Linked DNA regions of Oryzias latipes. The protein of the gene in region 4 purifies or fractionates together with the protein of the main gene of each other region. This does not show direct contact. Links are inferred from orthologs where the notes say so. Each region holds a gene or a part of one and is shown on either strand. Other genes may lie near its edges. The genes, in order: sox2, plk1, cep78, ubr5, dyrk2 and atmin.

The links.
Region 1: the proteins of ubr5 (region 4) and sox2 purify together in Homo sapiens (affinity purification with western blotting; 3 studies listed by BioGRID and IntAct, with this or other methods). This does not show direct contact. The link is inferred for Oryzias latipes from reciprocal best matches to the Homo sapiens genes UBR5 and SOX2.
Region 2: the proteins of ubr5 (region 4) and plk1 purify together in Homo sapiens (affinity purification with mass spectrometry; 4 studies listed by BioGRID and IntAct, with this or other methods). This does not show direct contact. The link is inferred for Oryzias latipes from reciprocal best matches to the Homo sapiens genes UBR5 and PLK1.
Region 3: the proteins of ubr5 (region 4) and cep78 purify together in Homo sapiens (affinity purification with western blotting; 3 studies listed by BioGRID, with this or other methods). This does not show direct contact. The link is inferred for Oryzias latipes from reciprocal best matches to the Homo sapiens genes UBR5 and CEP78.
Region 5: the proteins of ubr5 (region 4) and dyrk2 purify together in Homo sapiens (affinity purification with western blotting; 3 studies listed by BioGRID and IntAct, with this or other methods). This does not show direct contact. The link is inferred for Oryzias latipes from reciprocal best matches to the Homo sapiens genes UBR5 and DYRK2.
Region 6: the proteins of ubr5 (region 4) and atmin purify together in Homo sapiens (affinity purification with western blotting; 3 studies listed by BioGRID). This does not show direct contact. The link is inferred for Oryzias latipes from reciprocal best matches to the Homo sapiens genes UBR5 and ATMIN.

Annotation. Positions count from the first base shown.
Region 1 is NC_019862.2:18,601,031-18,603,977, forward strand, and holds sox2 (transcription factor SOX-2), read right to left. Parts: upstream 1,470-2,947; coding exon 501-1,469; downstream 1-500. UniProt on the Homo sapiens protein: Transcription factor that forms a trimeric complex with OCT4 on DNA and controls the expression of a number of genes involved in embryonic development such as YES1, FGF4, UTF1 and ZFP206. Binds to the proximal enhancer region of NANOG.
Region 2 is NC_019859.2:22,726,368-22,730,307, reverse strand, and holds the start of plk1 (serine/threonine-protein kinase PLK1), read left to right. Parts: upstream 1-1,140; 5' UTR 1,141-1,542; coding exon 1,543-1,905; intron 1,906-2,250; coding exon 2,251-2,419; intron 2,420-2,604; coding exon 2,605-2,749; intron 2,750-2,837; coding exon 2,838-2,931; intron 2,932-3,021; coding exon 3,022-3,247; intron 3,248-3,353; coding exon 3,354-3,396; intron 3,397-3,471; coding exon 3,472-3,569; intron 3,570-3,657; coding exon 3,658-3,735; intron 3,736-3,822; coding exon 3,823-3,940. UniProt on the Homo sapiens protein: Serine/threonine-protein kinase that performs several important functions throughout M phase of the cell cycle, including the regulation of centrosome maturation and spindle assembly, the removal of cohesins from chromosome arms, the inactivation of anaphase-promoting complex/cyclosome (APC/C) inhibitors, and the regulation of mitotic exit and cytokinesis.
Region 3 is NC_019867.2:7,051,823-7,056,081, forward strand, and holds the start of cep78 (centrosomal protein of 78 kDa), read left to right. Parts: upstream 1-1,459; 5' UTR 1,460-1,589; intron 1,590-2,246; 5' UTR 2,247-2,256; coding exon 2,257-2,518; intron 2,519-2,620; coding exon 2,621-2,802; intron 2,803-2,943; coding exon 2,944-3,016; intron 3,017-3,234; coding exon 3,235-3,338; intron 3,339-4,001; coding exon 4,002-4,176; intron 4,177-4,256; coding exon 4,257-4,259. UniProt on the Homo sapiens protein: Centriole wall protein that localizes to mature centrioles and regulates centriole and cilia biogenesis. Involved in centrosome duplication: required for efficient PLK4 centrosomal localization and PLK4-induced overduplication of centrioles.
Region 4 is NC_019874.2:6,539,902-6,543,401, forward strand, and holds part of ubr5 (E3 ubiquitin-protein ligase UBR5), read right to left. Parts: intron 3,461-3,500; coding exon 3,342-3,460; intron 3,246-3,341; coding exon 3,119-3,245; intron 2,747-3,118; coding exon 2,617-2,746; intron 2,488-2,616; coding exon 2,327-2,487; intron 2,174-2,326; coding exon 1,934-2,173; intron 1,853-1,933; coding exon 1,729-1,852; intron 84-1,728; coding exon 1-83. UniProt on the Homo sapiens protein: E3 ubiquitin-protein ligase involved in different protein quality control pathways in the cytoplasm and nucleus. Mainly acts as a ubiquitin chain elongator that extends pre-ubiquitinated substrates.
Region 5 is NC_019881.2:22,945,386-22,947,919, reverse strand, and holds the end of dyrk2 (dual specificity tyrosine-phosphorylation-regulated kinase 2), read right to left. Parts: intron 2,498-2,534; coding exon 2,407-2,497; intron 1,236-2,406; coding exon 598-1,235; 3' UTR 501-597; downstream 1-500. UniProt on the Homo sapiens protein: Serine/threonine-protein kinase involved in the regulation of the mitotic cell cycle, cell proliferation, apoptosis, organization of the cytoskeleton and neurite outgrowth. Functions in part via its role in ubiquitin-dependent proteasomal protein degradation.
Region 6 is NC_019861.2:22,521,767-22,525,822, forward strand, and holds the start of atmin (ATM interactor), read right to left. Parts: upstream 2,801-4,056; 5' UTR 2,658-2,800; coding exon 2,361-2,657; intron 606-2,360; coding exon 480-605; intron 1-479. UniProt on the Homo sapiens protein: Transcription factor. Plays a crucial role in cell survival and RAD51 foci formation in response to methylating DNA damage. Involved in regulating the activity of ATM in the absence of DNA damage. May play a role in stabilizing ATM.

The DNA.
Region 1 (2,947 bases), on a different chromosome or scaffold from region 4:
AAAAAAAATACCTGCATCTTTTGTCCCTTTTTATTCCAATGTTTTAATTGGAAGCATAACTGATCACTTCCATTACTCTTGTTCTGCTATTTTTCACTTTTAATGTTCTCTGCAGAACCAGCTTTATATATATATATATATATAATAATTAAAAAAGGAAAATAAAAATGCAACCTCTTGCAGATTAACAAACAATTTCATCTGATTGTAATGTTTCTTTGATAAATACTGTACAAAAGGTGATTGCAATAATAAAACATTTGATTGCGACTCCCACTTTCTAGTCTTCCAAACTTCATCCAACAGTGAAGAGGGGATCTACCGTTCCTCTATGCTTCCTTAGGATAAAAGGAAAGAAAAAAAAGTCCCTTTTTTTCTTGAAGATTTCTATACAACTTTTTCTCACCCATTTTTTTTCTGTACAAAAATAGTCCAACATTAAGTAGTCCACAGTAGCTTTTATAAAAGTCTGCTTTTGCCCCCCTCCTGCGCTCTGTCCCTTACATGTGTGTTAACGGCAGCGTGCCGTTGATCGTCGTCCCGGGCACGGTGCTCTGGTAGTGGCCGGACATGTGTAGCCTGGTCTGGGCAGTCTGCTCGCTGACCTCCGCCCCGGGCAGGTACATGCTGATCATGTCCCTCAGATCACCGCTTTGGCAGCCCGGGGCGGCCCGGTGAGACGAGGAGGTGACGACGGGCGGGCTGGAGCTGCTGGACTCGGACTTCACCACCGAGGAGGGCCCCATGGAGCCCAGGGCGGTCATACCCGGCGTGGTTTGCTGGGAGTAGGACATGGAGTACGTCGGGGAGCCGTTCATGTAGCTCTGGGAGCTGGTCATGGAGTTGTACTGCAGGGCGCTCATGTCGTAGCGGTGCATGGGCTGCATCTGGCTCGGGTTGTGCGCGTTCAGACCTGCGTGCTGGTAGCTCAGCTGGTCCTGCATCATGCCATAGCCCCCGTTGGTCCAGCCGTTCATGTGCGCCGCGTAACTGTCCATCCGCTGGTTAACCCCACCGCCCAGGCCGGCCCCTACCCCGACACCGACCCCGGTCCCCATACCGTTTCCTCCAGGAGCCAGCAACCCGCCCGGTAAGGTGTATTTGTCCTTCTTCATGAGGGTCTTGGTTTTCCGCCGGGGCCGGTATTTGTAATCCGGGTGCTCCTTCATGTGCAGGGCCCTCAGCCTCTTAGCCTCGTCGATGAAAGGTCTCTTCTCGCTCTCTGACAGAAGTTTCCACTCTGCGCCCAGCCTCTTGCTTATCTCCGAGTTGTGCATTTTGGGGTTTTCTTGCGCCATCTTCCTCCTCTGGCCTCGGGACCACACCATGAAGGCGTTCATGGGTCTTTTGACTCTCTCCGGGCTGTTTTTCTGGTTGGTGCCGGTGCCGGACGTGTTTGTGTTCCCCGTGCCCCCCGTGTTGGTCTGGGGAGCAGGGGGCTTCAGTTCAGTCTCCATCATGTTATACATCAGGGAAAATTTTAACTTTTCGCTGGGAGCTCCCGAGCAGAAAAAAAAGACAAGAAAAAAAAGAAAAAAGAAAAAAAAGGAGCTTCTCTCCAGAAGCTGAGCGCAGACAGAGGAGCGCACGAGCGCTTTCAGTTACCTGCCGATTTTCTATGCAACTTTTCTCTGGACAAAAACAACGAGCATCAAGCCGCGCGTCTCCGCACACTCTCCCCCTCTCACTCCCACTCAGCGTGTCACACCGTGTGTGTGTGAGTGTGTGTGACAGAGAGCCTTCTCCCAACACGTCCCGGCAATGTTGTGTCCACAAAACTTCTCCCGCGGCTGCTCGCAAAAAGCATCAACAAACTGTACTTTTTCGCCTCAGTCCGCCTGAGCCTTGACAACTCCAGATAGTTTTTGAACAAGTTAATAGACAACCATTCATGTGAAGGGGCTGTCAGTGAATAAATGGCTTCGGCCTGACCAATCAGAGCGAGCCCCGCGCGCCAATGGGAGAGCGTGTGGTCGGAAAAGGGCGGAGTCTGGAGCGCAGCGAGGCACAGGCGTACACTCCGGCTCCTGCTGCCCATATCAGACAATACTAAGTACATATTTACTATTTCATCTTGCTTGTGGGAATTTCTATGTTTGATAGCGCTTTGTGAATACGTTACACCTTTTAGGTGGAAGTTTATACGACGCAGAGATGCAGCATTTTCAAAATCAGAAATTACTTTTTTGTAACTTTTAAAAGCTCAAAATGTAAAAAGTTAATAAGTACAAGTAAAAAAAAAAGACTACTTTTTGAATACGTTTTTAAAATTAAATTAGACATATTGAAGCAACATGACACTATTTCTTTTAAAAAAGAACAGATTTATTTTTATTCTAAATTGTTTTTTAGATGAAATATGAGGCATATCCAGACCAAATGAAAAAGCCACTTAATCAACCCTACTTAATGGCCCAATAACATAACACGCAAAGAAACTTTGTGAGTTAACTCACTGAAAGCTCTGAACAGCAGAGCTGTGGGGTGAATGTGTGCGTAAAAGAAGGTGGAGAGGGGGGGGGTGTCCACGGCTCGTTTTTTAGCCTTGAAAAGAGAAAAGGTAATCCAAGATGTTTCCCCCAGTCCTTTTGTTTAGGTGAAGTTGAATGCCAACACACACAGAAGGCAGACGGCCTCATCTTAGCACAAATAAGCGCGTTTTGTTTGGGATGTTGTCGCTACATCTGTCCGGACAAAGACCCCAACTCCACTTCCACTTCCACAGTGCCAGCGCTGCAGTTACGCATGGGTCTTTGTGGCGTGGTACGCGCACCGGAGACACGAGACAGGGACCGAATGAAAGGTGAGGAATATTTTAAGATGAAAGTGTGTTCGCACAAAAGATCTACACATTCATAGGAGTTCCAACAAGTGTGTCAGCCAATTAGTGGGAATCAAAACGCGGCCTTCACCTGCGCTTCAATTAGTCCTGGATCAAGAAACGGCC
Region 2 (3,940 bases), on a different chromosome or scaffold from region 4:
TTAGGGGAAAAACAACTTTTTTTTTTTTTTTTAGCTTGGCATGTTGAAACCAAACAGTACAGTCAATATCCAAATGTAAAAAATTGGGAATCTTCATGTATTCTGGAGTTATTATTTAAGTATAGGCATCAACAGGTTAACCATCATGATCAGAAAGTGAAAGTCCTTAATTTCATCATGTTAACATCTTGTCAAATAAACAATAATCTTGGTATCACAAAAACGATGTGACTTTTTTTTAGTGTGGCAAGACAGATTAAACCATTACTGCAGGTTTACTTTCTCATATTGCTTTTGTTACACTATATTTTACTGCTTCTCACCATTTTATGCTTTCCAGCATAAATAATCTTTCAAGTTAAACCCTGAGGCTTTTTTGCTCAAAATCCTTTTTGAATTTCAACCAATCTAGAGTGAAAAATATCCTCCTCACTACCGGCAATAAAAACTTGTCCCCATAGTGGACATTTCTAGACCTGAAAATTATTCAACCACTGCAATTACTGAATGAACTCCTTTTGGTATCTACAGAGGGCATTTGTGGCTTTTCAATGATTACAATGATACACTTAGAATGCCGATAGCACTGTCTGAGAATTTGGTTTGAAACAGTATTTAATGGTTGTTCTAACAGAGTAGAAATTAAAAGAAAACATGAGAAGAAAGCAAACACTCACATGTTTCTCAATTTATGAAAAGTTGAAAGTTTTTCAAGGAAGTGTGGCGCAAGATGAGTGTACACAGTCAGCATGGCAATCAATAAAAATAAAAGTGTATAACCTGAACCAACAATGTCTGTCAATAAAAATCCATCCAAAAAGTGAAAATGACAAATTCATAAAAAACTCATAGTCTAACAAAGATTAAATAAACTTCATATGATCCTCTGCATTCATGTAATATTAGTGTTCAACTAATAACATGAACCTAAATGATCGATATTGGATCAGGAGTGGCCATAATTCGGATAACGCTAATAACAAAACACTTTCGAAATTAAATCCTTTTCCCGACTACATTTCCCATCCGTCTTTCTCGAGGAAACAAAAACAGCCTTTCAGCCAATCAGATTGTTGGAGGCCTTCTACTCTACTCCTGATTGGCTATTTTTGTACACATGTTCCCAAGATGCTTTGCTGTGACGCTGTGGAATTCAAATCTAGCAGACCAATCAACGATCGCCAAAACGACCGAGCCAGCATTTTAAATTTGTACGAGACACTTGTTATCGAAAAGGCAGAACGGGACAAGGCAACCGCTGCCGGGGAAGTCTGCGCAAGAATTCTGCCTCCGGTTTTTTTTTTAATTAATTTATTTAATCTTGGGACCTGTCGGCCTTTAAATGTTAGTCAACGTTTGCGGTTTAGATCGTTTGTTAGTATTTGCTGTAAATTGAGGCGTAGAAAAAGTTAGCTTCGAAGGCTAAACTAACGTCGGTTGAGTTGGAGGGTTAAACAACACTTTAGCCCTTGTTTAATAACTTTTGCGTTTCGACTTCTTTGGAGTTTTATTAACGCGGAAAGAGCACTTTTAAAGTACACCATGAGTGCTGCTATCGCAAAGCCGGCGCAGCCGTCCGGACACGTCGACCCAAAATCGGCTCCTCTGAAAGAAATCCCAGAGGTTTTGGTGGATCCCCGCACCCTGAGGAGATACTCCAAGGGCAGGTTCCTCGGCAAGGGGGGCTTCGCCAAATGCTTCGAAATTACAGACATGGAGACCAAGCAGGTTTTCGCTGGCAAAATAGTGCCCAAGTCGTTGATCCTGAAGCAGCACCAAAGGGAGAAGATGAGCTCGGAAATCTCCATTCACAAGAGCCTCAATCATGCTAACATCGTGGGCTTCCACGGCTTCTTTGAGGACGACGACTTTGTCTATGTGGTCCTGGAGATCTGCAGGAGAAGGGTGAGGATTTTGGGAACTCTAAATGAAAATACATGAAGGCCAACGGTTAACAATGTGGCCTCTTCCGTTACCCCCCCCCCCCCCCCTCCTTTGGCATAGTGCTGGGAGACTCAAATCCCCTGATCACTGCTTTAAATCACTGTTACTTATCCTAAACCAGTAACTTTTTGTAATTTAAAACTATAGAGATATCTAAATTCTTTTTCCCCTTTGTGTTGTTCCACGTGTTGTTTTTAACACTTCTTGAGGTGCCACTTCACTTCATCCAGCTTGTTCATGCTCTCCCAGCCTCCATTTTCCTCCACTGAGTTCAGCCGCTCACCAGAACTGTTGTCCTTTTTCAAGTCCCTGTTGGAGTTGCACAAGCGCAGGAAGGCGGTCACGGAGCCGGAGGCTCGCTACTACATGACCCAGCTGCTGAAAGGGGTCCATTATCTGCACAGCAACAAGGTCATCCACAGAGACCTGAAACTGGGGAACATCTTCCTCAACGACGACATGGAAGTCAAGATAGGTATGGAGAGCAGGAAACCTGTCGGTGTAGTGACAAAGAAACGGGCACACCCATGTTCTTGATATGCTCCCATAACTTCCTTGTTGAGAACTTCCAGCTCCAATTTGTTAACACCCATATTTGGCTTCTTAATATCCTTTACTCAGATTAAACGCTGATCATTTCTTTCTTTCCTTTTTTGCTAGGTGACTTTGGTTTGGCCACAAAGATTGAGTTTGATGGTGAACGGAAGAAGACCTTGTGTGGAACGCCCAACTATATCGCTCCGGAAGTGCTGTGCAAGAAAGGCCACAGCTATGAAGTGGATGTCTGGTCACTTGGGTGCATATTGTAAGTGTGTAAACCCACAGTGGAGTGGGGAAGAGTGTCATTCCACAGGATTCTGGATACTCAACTTCCTTCCTGTATCCTCTCATAGGTACACTTTGTTAGTCGGCAAGCCTCCGTTTGAAACCTCATGCCTGAAAGACACATACAACCGGATCAAGAAGAACAATTACACCATCCCCTGGGTGAGAAGAGCTGACGTTAATCCCTAAATGTACGTAATAGTTGGTGAAAGAAAATCTTAAGTTTACCGTCACTTCACTTGAATGCTGCAGCAAATCAACCCGTCAGCCTCGGCTCTCATCAAGAGGATGCTGCATGCCGATCCTGCCCAGAGGCCCACCATCACTGACCTGCAGACGGATGAGTTCTTCACATCGGGATACGTCCCCCTGCGGCTGCCCACCACTTGTCTCACTGTGCCCCCGCGGTTCTCCATTGCCCCCTCCATGGCTGCAGAGCTCAGCCAGAGGCGCCCCCTGACTGCCATAAACAACAAAGGTAACAAACCCAACAATTGCCCAAAACTGGTGCACTGATAATGAAAGTCTGCAGTTAATCAACAGTGATATTGATGGAGGTTTTTTTTATATATTTTTTTTCTCAGCCGGCACAGAGAAGGTGGACATGAAAGACGAGCCTGCTCCACTGTGAGACATCACACTAAGGTCTAAAACATGCGTCGTAGTTTGATCAAAAATGATAAATGGGAATTTTGTGTGCAGAGAGGCGGAGCCAGAAGAATGTTACCTGAAGGACATGCTGCAGCAGCTCAACAGCATCATCTCTGCCAAGCCTTCAGAGAAGGCGGTCATTCGGCAAGGTGAGAGCAGCCGCCTGCAGGAACTACCTAAACTTTCTGCAGTTTTAGTCAGTCCTTCTTACAGAAAACCCCTTGTCTTTGATTTCAGAGGAAGCAGAGGATCCTGCGTGTATTCCCATCTTTTGGATCAGTAAATGGGTCGACTACTCTGACAAATATGGATTAGGTAAATTCTAAATCTTAGGACAGGTTTGCCTTTTATTGTCTTGCTTTTAATGGAGAATTAAGGGTGTGCTGTAAATTGCTTTCGCAGGATACCAGCTTTGTGACAACAGTGTTGGTGTTCTATTCAACGATTTCACCCGACTCATCATGTATGCTGATGGCGACAGTCTGCAGTACATTGACAAGAAGGCTGCTGAGTCCTATTT
Region 3 (4,259 bases), on a different chromosome or scaffold from region 4:
CATCTCCATACAGGCCACTGCTGTCTGGGGTTTAAAAAAAACACATCGCCAGTTCGGGCAGCGGCCATCAACAAACTCAACGGCTAAATAGATATAAAAAGGTTTTGAAATAATGTCGAAATTACCTGTTATGCAGGGAAATGTCTTTCACAGCAACCGACCAGCGGTATTTTTCGTTACTAATCGAGCTATAAAGACGTCTGAGATATTTTTAACTTGGTGCCCCCACGTTCCGCAACGTAGTTTTGACTTTTCCCTACCTCTCCAGAGTAAAACTGGGATTCCTGGCATGAAGCTAGCTTGGATCATGACTGACGTTGTTTCTGACCAATGGCCTTTCGCACAGTGAGCGACTGGGCGGGGTCTGTGCTGCGGTGTGACGCAAGGCTAAAAGGCGAGAGGCAGAGGCGAGTGTTTAGAGACCTTGAAACCAGGCAGAGAATTCAAATGTCGATGACACTTATTTTACTGAACTATACAGCAATTATGAACATTTATTTAGCAGAAGCTACTAAAGAAGTCACAAAGTCGGATTAGCTTTTAAAGTTTAAATACACTGCTTGATGTAGAGTAAACCAGTTATTACAAAAAAATCAACCCAGATTTAAAATATCATTAGAAAACAAGTAACTTTTGTTTCCATCAGGTAAAAAAGAGGAAAACACTCTTACTTTGACGTAATTTAAAAAAGGCCCCAGGCAGACAATAATTTTGCTCAGCACTGTTTTTTTAAGGCTCTGATAATACTGATAACAATACAAGTTTAGTTATTTTACAACCAACCTTGTCTAAATTAGTACTAAAGTAAATGTACATGTTTAAGTCTCAGGACAAAATTTAGGGGGAAAAAAGGCAGACACCAACATTTAACTCTATAAAAGCCATTTGCAGTAATAATAACCCCTAAGAAACACTCATCAACCCAAAGTGGTTGACACATATCAAACAAAATGATCTGATTAGGATTTGAGTAAAAAAGCCAGGGAAGCAAACTGAAAACAAATTAAAACCAACACGTCAATTTTAATTAAAGGAATTTTAACATTAAATTCAGATTTTTTTTTTTTGACAACAGATTTCTAATTTTATTTTATTTTTCATATCTGAAAAGTTTATTTTATTTTTGTAAATTTTTAAACCAAATTCAAATAATCAGTAGACCTGCCTTTTTGTTGCTTTTATGAAAGCGTTTCTGTAGCATAAAATAAAAATAAATGTCAATACCAGAAATGCTTTTTCATTTTCAAGAGGAAGCTGCATTTTTTGACTCAAAATTAAAATGGAAAAGCATTTCTGGTATTGACTTTACTTTTTAATTATGCTACAGAAAAACCATCATATGCTTTTCTTGATCTGACATCAGCATAACAGTTTGTATTGTCAGAGGAGTAAATACACCTCCCAGCCAGTAGGTGGCAGTGTGTTGTTTTTACTGACACCCCGATACCAGTGTTGAAGACATGTGGGCGCGGTTTTGACGGTGCAACAGCGCCACTTTTAAGCATTTAATAACAACACAAGAGGAGACTACAGAGCGGTTTATACCGTGGAATTTGACAATAACAGAGGGTTCAGTTATGCCCGAAAAGGTAAAGCTCGAATGTTTTCCGGTAGTTATTACTGGATAACGTGTTGAAAACCAGATGAAAACTGATTTTTAAATGTTTTGTCCTCTGCTGCATCCAACAGTTGCTAGGACGAGCTGAGCTTGGCTTGCTAACGCCCGCGTATCTTTTCTATAAACACCAATCAGAACCAAAAGATTTGTTGAGTGCACACTATTAATTTTAAATGCAAGTTTGTTGTATCTTTCTTAATAGCCAATTTCTTGGTTTTACTCACATATAAAGTTTAGTTTGCAGAAACAGAGTTTTTTTTTACTTGCTTTGATTGCTGTTCTGGAAAACGCAGGAAAACTTTTCGTTTTTCCCCCCTTCTGGTTAATCTTTAAGTATTTGTAATTGTTCTTATTTTTTAATTTTATTTTTTATTTGAGCATTTTGATAGTTTAACACAAATTGTCAGTGCAATCAAAAATAATGAGTTTACATTTACTTGCTTTTAATTGAAGTACTGTTAAATACATCACGTGTAATACCTTTGTTTAAAAAGGAAACCTCACTGCGTGCATGCATAGAACAAGAAAATAGTCAATTTGTCTGTTATTCTATTAGAAACATGGTGGCCTAAATGAAGTAAAAGTATTGGGTATTTTGATTGAAGGACTGCCTTATTATCATCCCCAGGTCAGACAATATGGTTCAAGACAACGCACAGATTCGCCAGCAGGGTGCCCAGGACTTTATGGCGTACTATGACTTCGCCTGTGCCAAGCAGGAGACTTTTCCTGTCCCTGCTGTTAAAGTGAACCTTGACAAAGGGATGCTGAACTTTAATGCAGACCGGCTCAAACTATCTGACTGGCCACCCATTCTGCAAGCAATATCTATTAACAAGCACCTTCACCACATCGCTATAAGCAGCACTTACCAAGCTAGTAACACTTCAGGAGATACAGGTAAGCCTGAAAGTAACAGCAGTGGTAATGGTTAAAGAAAAACAGCATGTGTGAGTATATGGTCTAAGTTTGGATAACAATACCAACTGTATGAACCGTCAGTTTTGAAGAGGAGGCAGCATAAATCCACCTTTAAGAGGAAGATTCCAGCCATTCGCTCAAAGGAGATGACATTCAAGCTGTGCAAAGCCTTGGGAGACTGTTTAACTGTTTCCTCCAACCTCAAGACTCTGCAGCTTCATGGACTTCTGCTGAGAGAAAGGGACCTCATCGCTTTGACAAAAGTAAACAGACATATGGTTATTATCAGTATTTTTTTTTTTGCAAAGAGAAAAGGGCTAATATATTACACATTTATTATAGGACAAGGATAAGCTGAAGTCTGATAAACAGAGTTCTAACTGCATGTATATGTCCTGTTCCAGGGTTTGGCAAAAAGTGCTTCTTTGAAAAATCTCTCTTTAGCTAACTGTCCCATCTCAGATGAGGGATTGGAAGGTATGTATTATTATTGTAGTAACATTTATTTATACTTAATGCCTTATTCGTCTATATTTATCTCTGTTTGGATGTAAAACTCTGTTGATTGTATTGTTTGTGCATTATTCTTGCTTTGATTGCTTGAAATAAACCATTTCTAATCCAATATTTTCTAAACTTAAAATAAATTAATCACATGTTAAGTCTTTATTTTTTGTAATATCTGTATGTTCCAGTCATTTGCCAAAGTGTGAAGTACTCTACAACCATCAAGACAATTGATTTCACAGGATGCAGTCTTACATGGAGAGGGGCAGAGCATTTAGCCAACATTATTAAGGTATGATAGATACAATTACATTTTTTTATGTTTTCTAAAAGGCAACACAAAAATCAAATGGAGATTTATTTAATTGTTTGACTCTTTTTTTTCCTTCTTTCTTTTCTTTACCAGCTAAATACTTCATAGACATTTTTCTGAGATAAAATAAACCAAGGGAAACAGGCAATATGCAGGGAGTGTTTTACATGTTGACACATCATCAGTTTTCTGGCTTCCATTTTTTTTAAATGATTTGATTGTACTAATTGATATTGCTTATTAAAGATGATCAAATCATTTTTTAATAATGATGAAAAAATGTATATTAAAAAGATGTTTATAGCGTTTGGTTTTTCAACTATTAGTACATCTACTGTAGTCGTGAAATGAACAAAGTTTCGCATTTCACTTCCAACAAATGAATCGATTTGATTTCAGTTCCCACGCTCACAATTCAAGTTATTTTTTCTTTGATTTAATGTCACTATATTTGAAAAAATATCTATTCCGTAATGAATTTCTAGTTTTTTTTTCAAAACAAAAGGAACAAAGAAAGAGAAATATGTCATACATTTGAAGAATCGATATTGCAATTTCTAAATGAAGATTGATTTCATTGGCTAAACTATTTAAAATTCCAATCAAAGGTTCAGATAGCAGCATTGTCCATTGTTGTTTCAGTATCAGGGAATGCAGAGACATGGTACAGCATGGGCAGAGTCTTTGCGGTATCGCCATCCACAGCTGGAAGGAATGAGCGGTCTTCGGCGAATCACTCTTAACTGTAACACTTTGATTGGCGATAGGGGTGCAGCTGCTCTCGCTCGTGAGCTGGCTGAGGACCTCTGGATTAAAGGTACATAACCATTAATCATATTCCTGTACAAAGACTGGCTGTGGTGTGGGAACTTTACATTTTTTTGTCTGATTGAACAGCTT
Region 4 (3,500 bases):
TCCGCCTCTGCATTTTCCTCTCCCTGCTCTTCCTGGTCGTCATGGTGGTCTTCTTCCCCTGCTACTCCCTCCACAACTTCAACCTGAAGAAAACAACCTGATCATATCGACAAACAGGCAGGTTCATCAGAAGCCGCTCCATGCTTTGGCTCGTGTGGACCACAAGAAGTGGGTTTGGGGGGAAAAAAAGGAATACTATAATTTTTGGAGTATAAGTCACAGTTTTTTGCAGTTTGGCCAGGAGTGAGACTTATATTAGGGTCAACTTGCATGCAATTTTTAAAAAATAAATACGTTCATGTACTCATTATTTTCCCCACTAGGGGGCACTGTAGGTGTTTATCAGTATTTGCTACAGTACCTGAGAAGAAGTGCTGCTCTATTTGATTAGTGAGAGGAGTCCCAAACAGAGTAGAATCTGACTGTTTTACTCCTGAACTTAAAGATCTTTTTTTTTTTTTCATTGAGACAACAATAAAAAGATCCTATAATTTATTTTTGTTTTTATTTTGTCACTCCTCGGACTCTGGACACCAAGTCATCAAACTGGGTGACAGAGAGACGGAAGTACCGCTGAAAGCGGCCGTCATTCAGACGTCACTCCTGCATTGAAAATTGGATACACAGACAACGCTTTAATGTCGAAATGATGCTATAAAGTTTTGGCGGTAGCTCTTCTCACACAGCGACTAAGGAAAGGCAGCGAATTGGGCACATGAGTTGCATTCGGTGTGAATGCAGCATTACGCCGGCCTTGGCAACGTTGTTCAGAAGTATTTTTCTCCCAAAAGGGGACCTATACTCCGGTGTGACTTACACAGGATTTTTTTTCTTCTTTATTATGCTTTTTTTTTTTGACTGCTTATGCTCCAGAGTGACTTGTAGTCTGAAAAAGATGTCAATGAAATCCATGATTTGATTTTTCTTGTGAGTAGTTTGTCACATTTAATTTTTAGTTTTTGTAAGAATCAACGATTTTATTAGTAAGTCCAACTTAGCTCAGTTGATGGGGCTGCAGTACTCAGATACTCTAATATATGCAATCTGCTCCAGAGAAAAGGAGCACAAATGTGATGTTTGTGATGTGTTGAATTGTGATGCTGGAGATCACAGATTGGCGATATTCATAAATATAGTATAATAAAAATACACTTCAATATAATTATGGCTCTGAAATGCAGAAAATGAATGGATTTCAAGCATATACACTAAACAAACCGTGTGTGCTACTGACACTGGAAGTAAATACATTTTCAAGACAAAGTGTCAGTAAAGCTTTTTTATGTTGAAAGTAAAACTATGAAGTCATTTTTATAGATAAAAATAAAATGAGACTAAAGTTCAGTTTACTGAAATAAATTTTGAAAATTGATGTTTTAAATATATTGAATAAAGAATATAATGAGTATTCAAGTTAGAACGTTACTAAAATCTTGTGATGAAACGTCATGTGACGTCACACGCTGGAGAGGCCAGAACCCGTCTGGAAAATGTTCATCTCAAGTTTGAGAGTTTTTTGGTTGTTCCACTAAAGATGAAAAACAAGTTAGTTTACTCATAAAAATCAGTGAGGTTTAGGATTGGTTTCCTGTTGAAGTTAACCAGGCAGAAAATGCAGGAGTCCAGGGGCTTCATGGAGGTGATTACTGGAGTCCGTCACCAGTGTGCACTGAATGACACGCAGCCAAAGGCAAATTTAACTCTGAATAATATTGGGATGCTCCCCACCTCCTCCACATCAGCTGACACGATGTCGTCCTGCTCCTCGTCTCGTCCCCTGACAGGCTGAGACTGGCTGCTGCGTCTGGGCTGAGAGTTTCTGATGATATAGGAGGCAGCGGTTTGGCTAGAGCTGGGGGGGAAAAAACCCTGAGTGATTTCATCCAGAAATGTATATTAATTTTTTCTTTCATTGTAAGAAAACCAAACTTACCTGCTTGATTGGTCGGGTGAGGGTCTCGGTGGAAGCGGTTCCACAGAGAAGAGCTCCTCGCTGCCCTGAACCGCATCGATGCTCGTGCTGGCCAAGGTGAAAGGAGCCGTGGGTCGCGCTATGCCCATGCGGACGGGGACGATGAGAGACTCCGACACGTTACACAGCTCCTCCACAGCGTACGGGAGCAGGGCCTGGAAAACACGCCGGCACTTCCCAATCGGCTGCGGGATGAAGTTGCTAATTTAAGGAACAAAAAAGGGAGACAGAGTTAGTCCCATGAGTCACAAAGTCATTTTAAGCTGCAGCCAGATTTATCAGACACACGGAATTCTGTTTCGTCCTCCTGCCTTATGCCAGCTTGTGGACTGCGAAAAGAAACCGTGTTCTTACTTTTTCTTCTTTGACGATGCCATTTCCACGCTGAGAATGACGAAAACTCGCGCTACGGAGCGCAGGAACCTCCTGGTAACAATCACTGCCTCCTCTCTCCGGCCAGGAGTGTATTTGTTCTGCAGCTCTTTCACCAGGGTCCCCAGCAATGTGTCAATGAACTAATACAGAATCGAGACAATGATTTAAATGCATCCAAAACACCTCAAGAGTTTTCAGAACACTTGACATGGAGAACTGTTTATTCATTATGGAAGATCAATTTTTATAGATGAAAAAAGTGGACTCACTGTGATGTCAGGAGCACATTTGACAATGAGGCAATGTGTGAAACAGTCAAGGCGGATGGTGCCACTTTGTTGATTCAAGTAGACCTGTTCTTCAGGCAGGAGGTGGGCGATTCTACTGCTGGCACTAAGTCTAGGAAACAAGAGACGCATACAGATCACCAAACTGTGTGAAGACGAAGGATCCTGTTTCATTAACTGACAGATGAAAAAAACCTCAAAACATCTCTGGATCAGTTTCCCATGATGCATTGGAAAATGTCACCAAAAACAGCAATGCAGACATGAAACTAAGACAGTCAAACAATGACTAGAGGAACACTGCAGGACCAAAATCTTTTTATGGATACTCAAGTTTCATGTGCAGAGCTTTTTCCTTTCACAGAATTATTTTGAGAATTATAACTTCTGTGCCCATATGTTCTGTATTTACTGCACAAAATATTCAAACTTCCTGAAAATACTCCTGCCGACAACAACATTTCTACTTTCCTCAGAAACTTACGGGTCTTTGTTTTCCTGAGAACCAAACATGATCATTGATTTGAGGGCATTCCAGTCCTGCAGAACCCTCTCCAGAGCAAGTTGAGCAAAGCGAGGCGGTTCGAGGTCATGGTCAGGCATATCAGAATCTGCAGAAACGTTCAAAAAATAAGAAGAGGACAGATCATGTAAAAGGGCCTGTTCATAGAATCTGTGTGATCTGAACAAAGTGAAGAAGAAGAAACCTTCAGCGTTGGCAGCTTTGCGGTTCCTGTCTTCTCTGATGCGTGGTGGTCTGTACTGACAGTGCTCAACACTTTGTCTGGCCACAGTCTGGACCAGGAACAGTAATATATGCTCCCCCCTGGAGGAGGAAACCAGTCGGACTGATGATCCATGCTTTA
Region 5 (2,534 bases), on a different chromosome or scaffold from region 4:
TGTGCGAGTTTGATAATGAACTAAAAAAGCAAACTGAAATGTTTTTTTATCTTTTTCTTTAGCTTTAAAAAGGAAATATCAGTCAATGAGAAGAAAACTGCTCTCTGAGAGGTCGGACTGCAGGTTTAGTCTCTTAAGACAGAGAATTTTTTGGTGTTAAACTCAATAATAAATCCAGCTAAGAACATTATTTGCACAGAAAATGTTTTCAAAGCCTTGTTCCCTCCATCAGCACCATGTTGTTGTTGTTGTTGTGTTTGTGAGTCTGCTGCTGCAGAAGGTGGCGTGTTCAGATTGTCTGAGCAGAACCCACCTCAAATTGCTCAAATTGTTAAAAACAACTCGTCTCAAACGGAGGTTGGAGCTTCTGAACGTACCCCAGTTCACAAAAAGAAGAAAAAAAGACTTCCATCCCAGCACGTGTTCACACTCAAGCACGGAGTTTCTATTGGCTGTAGTTGTTTTGAACGCACCCCAGCAACGCTGAACGAGACCGTACGATCTTTAAAACCGGAGAGACCGGTTTTATTCAGGTCCCACCGGCTGCTGCGAGCTCAGCTCTCGTCTCCCGCCACAGCGAGCGGGGTGCATTCACTCTCAGCTGACAAGTTTGGGCAGCACCGTCCTAGGCTGGATGTTGCCATTGGCGTCAGTGATTGCAGCTAAGTTAGTCCTGGTTTTGGAGGAGGAGGAGGTTGTTGAGGAGGTTACGAGCTTAGAATTGGAGGTGATGGTGCCGTCAGTGGTGGCACGTTTGGACGAAGAGGTCTTGTCTCCCGGAGTGGTTCCTGTTGGTGGCTTGGGGAGTCGCCTCCTGAGCCACGAATGGCGCAGAGCCTGGCTCGGCGTCATCCGGTGCGCTGGGTCCCACTCTAAACACTGTTTGAGGAAGTCCAGGAAGAGCGGGTCGTCGCAGCCCTTCAGCGCCGTACTCCACACCTTGCTGCCGGGGGGACCGCGTACCTTCCCTCGCCGCGAGCGTCCTCCGTTCAGCACCGTGGTGCCGTCGCTCAGCGTGGTGACGGTGCAGTACCGCGGGTATCCCTTGGAGGACACAAAGTTCTTGGCCCGCTTGGAGGCATCCAAGATCTTCTGACTTGGCATGCCTAGGAGTTCTATGATGCAGGCGAGCTGGTCGGCTTCGTCTTCCCCTGGTAACAGCGGGTAACCAGTCAGGAGCTCGGCGAGGATGCAGCCCAGCGACCACATGTCGATGGGCATCCCATACCTGGAACCTTCAGAGAAAAGGACAAACCAGAGTCAGCCTCCACTCATTTTCAGGTCCTAGACTTCTTTACGTCCGGCTTGGTGGATTTGTTCACAAGTTTACTTTTCTCCCAAAAGTGCGACTTTGACATGATTTTTTTTTCTTTTTGTTTTGCTGGTGCGACGCATAGTCCAAAAAGCATGGTTTATTTTTATGAATAATGCAATAATGCATTGGAGCTTAATTCCATCATGATGAAGATGAGGAAAACCAGAAAACCAAAGGTCTGGACTCCCAGCCACGTGGAACCGTTTCATCACAACGGTTCAATTATTTTGCAACTAAAGCTACGTTCACTGTTCACATCCCATCATTTTTTAGGATGTCACAGTTTACGTCTGAACACGTCGTGTACCAGACTCTAGTGACCGGACCGGAACCCTAAGGAAGGGAATCAAAGTGACCCGCATGTCCACTACAACCATGCTGCACACGCTCAGAATAACACACTTCAGTCTCCAAGGAAAACTTGGTGCTGGATGTTTTCAAGTAAAAGATGCACAGAAGAACGGAAGTAGCACTTGGTTTTCCTGCAGCTTTATGAAGATTTGAGTGCAAATGTGACATAAAAGTTAATATGTTGCTTTTGCCTCTCAAATTTGGTCCGGTCACCACCAAAAACTACAATTCCCAGAACCCCAGTCCTCCACATGGACTCATTGAAAAGCCCCAACTGTCCTCTGTAGACACAAATAGGACGTCAATCATTAGTCTGCAGCATTTGGGAGATATTCCGCTTTGGAAATGTCCTCCACAGAGGACACATTTGCATCTTCAGTCACGATCAGATCTATGTTTTCATTCTAAACTTATTTTCTACAAAAGTTTGAACTTTGAGAGTTTAAGAGAGAAAACTGTGAAAATGTTCACATCTGTCTAAGAAAAGTGGATAAAGTGTGTAGTTTACAGCCTTAAATCCTCTAGAAATTATTTTAAAAAATAACAGATTTTGTCTATCGCGAGTTATTTTTAGAACGTAACTCCTGCGATAAACGCTGATCGACTTTAATTTGAAATTGCACATTAAAAGGAAACGGACTAGTAGAAGATTGAAGCACCTTTAAGGCCAAACCAGAGAACAAGTTTCCTACAAGTTTCTGTGGTTGGACTCATTCACCAAAACAGGTGGATCTTCTTACCTAGAATGACCTCTGGTGCTCGGTAAAACCTGGACTGGATGTAGGTGTAAACCCTCTGATGTTCAAAGCAGCTGGAACCAAAGTCAATGACCTGCAGGAGACAAAGACGTTCATCCGTTAGCGATCCA
Region 6 (4,056 bases), on a different chromosome or scaffold from region 4:
TCTCTATTAAATAAACAAACACTGACACAACAAATGAAGGACCCAACCACAGTTATATTGTCAAATAGATTTGGATTTTTTGCGAACAACAGCCTTTAACAAAGGAAAGAAGAAACGTAAATGGTAAATGTTACATAACAGCAATTCATCTATAATTAACTGACAAAATGTTAAAGATATCCAATCTACATCTGGATAGAAAGGCTATTCACACTGTCAGAATTATATGTATGCTAATTCTGATACTAGAAATTAGATGAGAGAACATCAATGCATGTTGTTGTTATATAACATGGTGACAACAGAAGGTGCGTGCAATTCTGAGAATTATGTATGACTTATTAGGTAACATTTTTATTCCGTCGTTACAGAAACCATTTTCCGGAGACAACAATTCTCAGCTCTGACCAAAAGCTTCAACTTTCAGTTGTCTCTGTATAAGAACATCAAGAACAGCAGATAAATGAGAATTTACTAACTTGCTTAACAAGGGAGAACTGGGAGAAGGGTCTGTTAGGTCCTCTTGGACAACCTTCCACAGGACAACAGTAAACTTTCTGAGAGGCCTTCATGTCCTTTCGGACTGTAGGATTGATGATGCCATCCTGAAACACACCAACAGAAACAACAGATGAGAAAAACAGCACAATAACCATAGCTTGCACTTTCTCCTAATAGAAAACTGGGCAGAGAAGGTTTCCCAAAAATCTTATTAAAAAAACAAAAAAAAACAAATTTTTTAGTCAGCTAATTAGTCTAAACTCCTATCTTTAATCTAACGGAGTATTAAGAATCCACACCATTACAAATAAACAGCCTGGATCTAAGCTGGCATTTATAAAGCTTAACCTTAACATAAGTAAGAACAAAGCATACGGTACTCAAATAGCTGCAGACTGCCTCATATAGACACAAACTGGAGTCATTTGTCATCAGACAGTTAATAGGGAAAAGACGTTCCGATTCACCGTCCTGCCCCAGCAGGGTCAGAACAGTTTTGCAAAGACTTGAGATTGATCTTCTCTGTGGGACTGAGCGGCGGATAAATGACATCAACAGTCGCTAAAGTTCTACTCTTCTTGTCGCTAAGTGTAATAGATTGAGAGGCACAAAGCTGCCTTGCTTTGTGCCAAGCCAAACGGCCACATTAGCTCCAAAGGAGGTTGAACCGAGTCCCCTAAGAAAAATAAGAAAATTCTACTGATATATAGATGTTTTTTTTTAAAGAGAGAAACCCAATATTTCATCAGAGATATTGTCAATATGTGACCTAATGATACTTTTTGTGAGAGTAATGAAGCTAAAATATTTATGCAGAACAATCAGAATGCCAATTCTAGAAAAATTTTAACACATGTAAGCTCCTAACAGTATAAACAACGGCGAATTCTTCTCAGTTTTTTCAACAGTTAAAACATGTTTGGCAGATGGGCAAGTGTCTAAGATCAGAAATAGCACTTTCTTTGAATACTCTTCCACTTTTCCCTCTTTGACCATCAACAACCTGTTCTTATTCTTACTCACAGTCGCTTCTGTCATTTAAAGAACTCAGTATGTTATAGGATAACACTGAGTGACCTTAAGAAAGAACACATATTCAATAAGGAAGGACATTGACTCAAAACATCCCACAAGAAAACTCAGTCCAGCAAAAAGAGAGAATGTAAACCTTTGGGAGAAACGCAATGAATACTTTCCTTGTTAACTACTAGTCAATAATAATAATAATAATAATAATAATAATAATAAAACTGCATGTACGTACATACATCCACCACAACTTACAAATCACAGTCGTTCATTCATTTGTTGCTTAAATTATCCTAAACATGATAAATAGCTTCACTCTTTGCTGTTGCAGTGATGCACTATTTCTTTGAGTTTAACCAGCAACAATGTCCGTTGGTTTTTAGTGGCATAAATTAAATGTATTTGAATAATTTATAAAGCTAATAAACATTACAGTAAAAATGGAAAAACTTGCATTTCCAATGTCATCTGTTTTGTTGTTGGCGTAATTATATTATCTTAACTCTTTGCATCTAAATTATAACTGGAAATGAAGTCAAACATTAGATTTAGGAACTGACAGCGCGTTTTGCTAACCCTTTAAGCTAGCTAGCTAGCTAGTTTTAACTAACAGTTAACTAGCATAAGCTTAAAATTAATGCATTCCCTTTAAACAAATGCTAACTACAATGCCTTGTTTCTGTTTGCTACATCACTCCTGCTATAAGCGCTAGCTATGAGTTTGAATGACTTGCGTTTTTATTAGTTGGCAGGTAAAGTCAGCAGTAATTAGCTCAGCCGGCCATTGGTTCCACGCATGCTAACTAAGTGTTCGTGATCAGAGTGATTACCTTTATTCTGTGCGATTTAACAAGATGCATGTTCAATGCAGGTGTGTTGGGAAGAATCTTCCCGCATCCTTCCACTGTGCAGAGGATGTTTTTCCTCACTTCTTTGGTCAGCTCACTGATGGTGGGTTTTATAATTTCGCGACATAGCGGCAGGGAATCCTCTTCGCTTTTGAGAGCGTCTGTCGTCGTGGAATCGCTGTAATTCTTCTTGTTTATCGCAGAAGCGGCCATGTTTGTGTTAGAGATCCACGCTGTGTTTGCCGGAGCTTCAGCTGCAGCTAAGAATGAACACTCCATACACTGAACATAACACAGACATAACGAACGCCCCTCCACTCTGTCCGAAAGGCTTTCTCACCTCCACGTCATATCCAGGATAACGTTCTGACTTCCGCTTTACAAAATAAAATGCAATTCATTTTTAAAAGCATCTTGGCGGATATTTGTGCAGTGTACGAACATTTGAAATATTTTTATTTTTTGAACTTTAAACATACACATAACTACACACAAAAAAAGAGAGAAAAATAAAATAAATAAATAAAACAAAATATATAGAATTGTAGTTTAGGGATTGTGATACAGCATGTGATGGAGTCATGGACATTTGAAATATGACGACGAGTTTTTTCTCGTCATGACGAGATTAATGTCACCATGATAAGAAAAAACTCGGCACAAAGTTTCGAGAAAAAACTCGTGTCGAGATAAAAGTCGAAATAAAGTTTCGTAAATTTAGGAGATAAAAAAGTCGTAAATTTACGAGTTTTTAATCTCATACATTAACAAGGAGAAAACACCGAAGTTTTCTGTTTATCGGAGCCTAGCTTGAAGATGAAATATGTAGAGCCTTTTGTGAAGCTTTGTTTCAGGATTATTATAGGTTTAAAACAAAGAGATTCTGAACCTTTTGGCGACTCAAAATCAGATTATTGTCAGTGGAGCCGGCTTTCCGGGGTTCGGTGTCAGTAAAGCGGACTTTCATATGTAAAATAAGGAGCTCAGAGACACGATTGGGTGTAGAGGACCGCTGCAGACTTTTATTCTCCTTTTCATTCACATAACCTGAAGTTCATCTCACCTTACGTCATGAACCTGTCATCCGAACACCAATGCGGAAGTAAACGGTGTTACATACGCCACCTCCTGCAGATGAAGCGTCCTGTTTCAGCATAAAACAACAAAGTTGAATGAAAATTGTAGTAGCTTGTGGGAAGGAATGACAGGCTCGTTGTTTTCTTCAAGTGTAACTTTATTCTCCAACCATAGCCGGCTCGCGCCGTGTACAACCTGCTGGCAGCTCCCCGTCCAGCTTCACCCCTGAAATCCCGGGGTGGCTCAATACTGCCCCCTCGCGGCCTGAACGGCAACAGCTCCTGTGGCTATTCAACAAAAATAGTCCGTTATATTAGCATTATTGAAAAAACCCAAAAAAGTGCTCCTCCTTTTGACGGAAGCGTCACATAGGCGTAGTGGTCTTTGGTGGAGGAAGAAAGGATTGAAGTGGACAGCTGCAGGGATACCGACGGCTTCATCGGGCTGCAGAGATCCTGCAAAACCACCCATCAATAAATAAAACTTTAATAAATCAAACAAATGAGCTTCCAGACATTTGGAACGTTATCAATAAACATTCAGATCACCTGTTCCACCAAGTTTAGTCGGTCTGCTCTGTTGCTGCGCGTCATTCACCTGC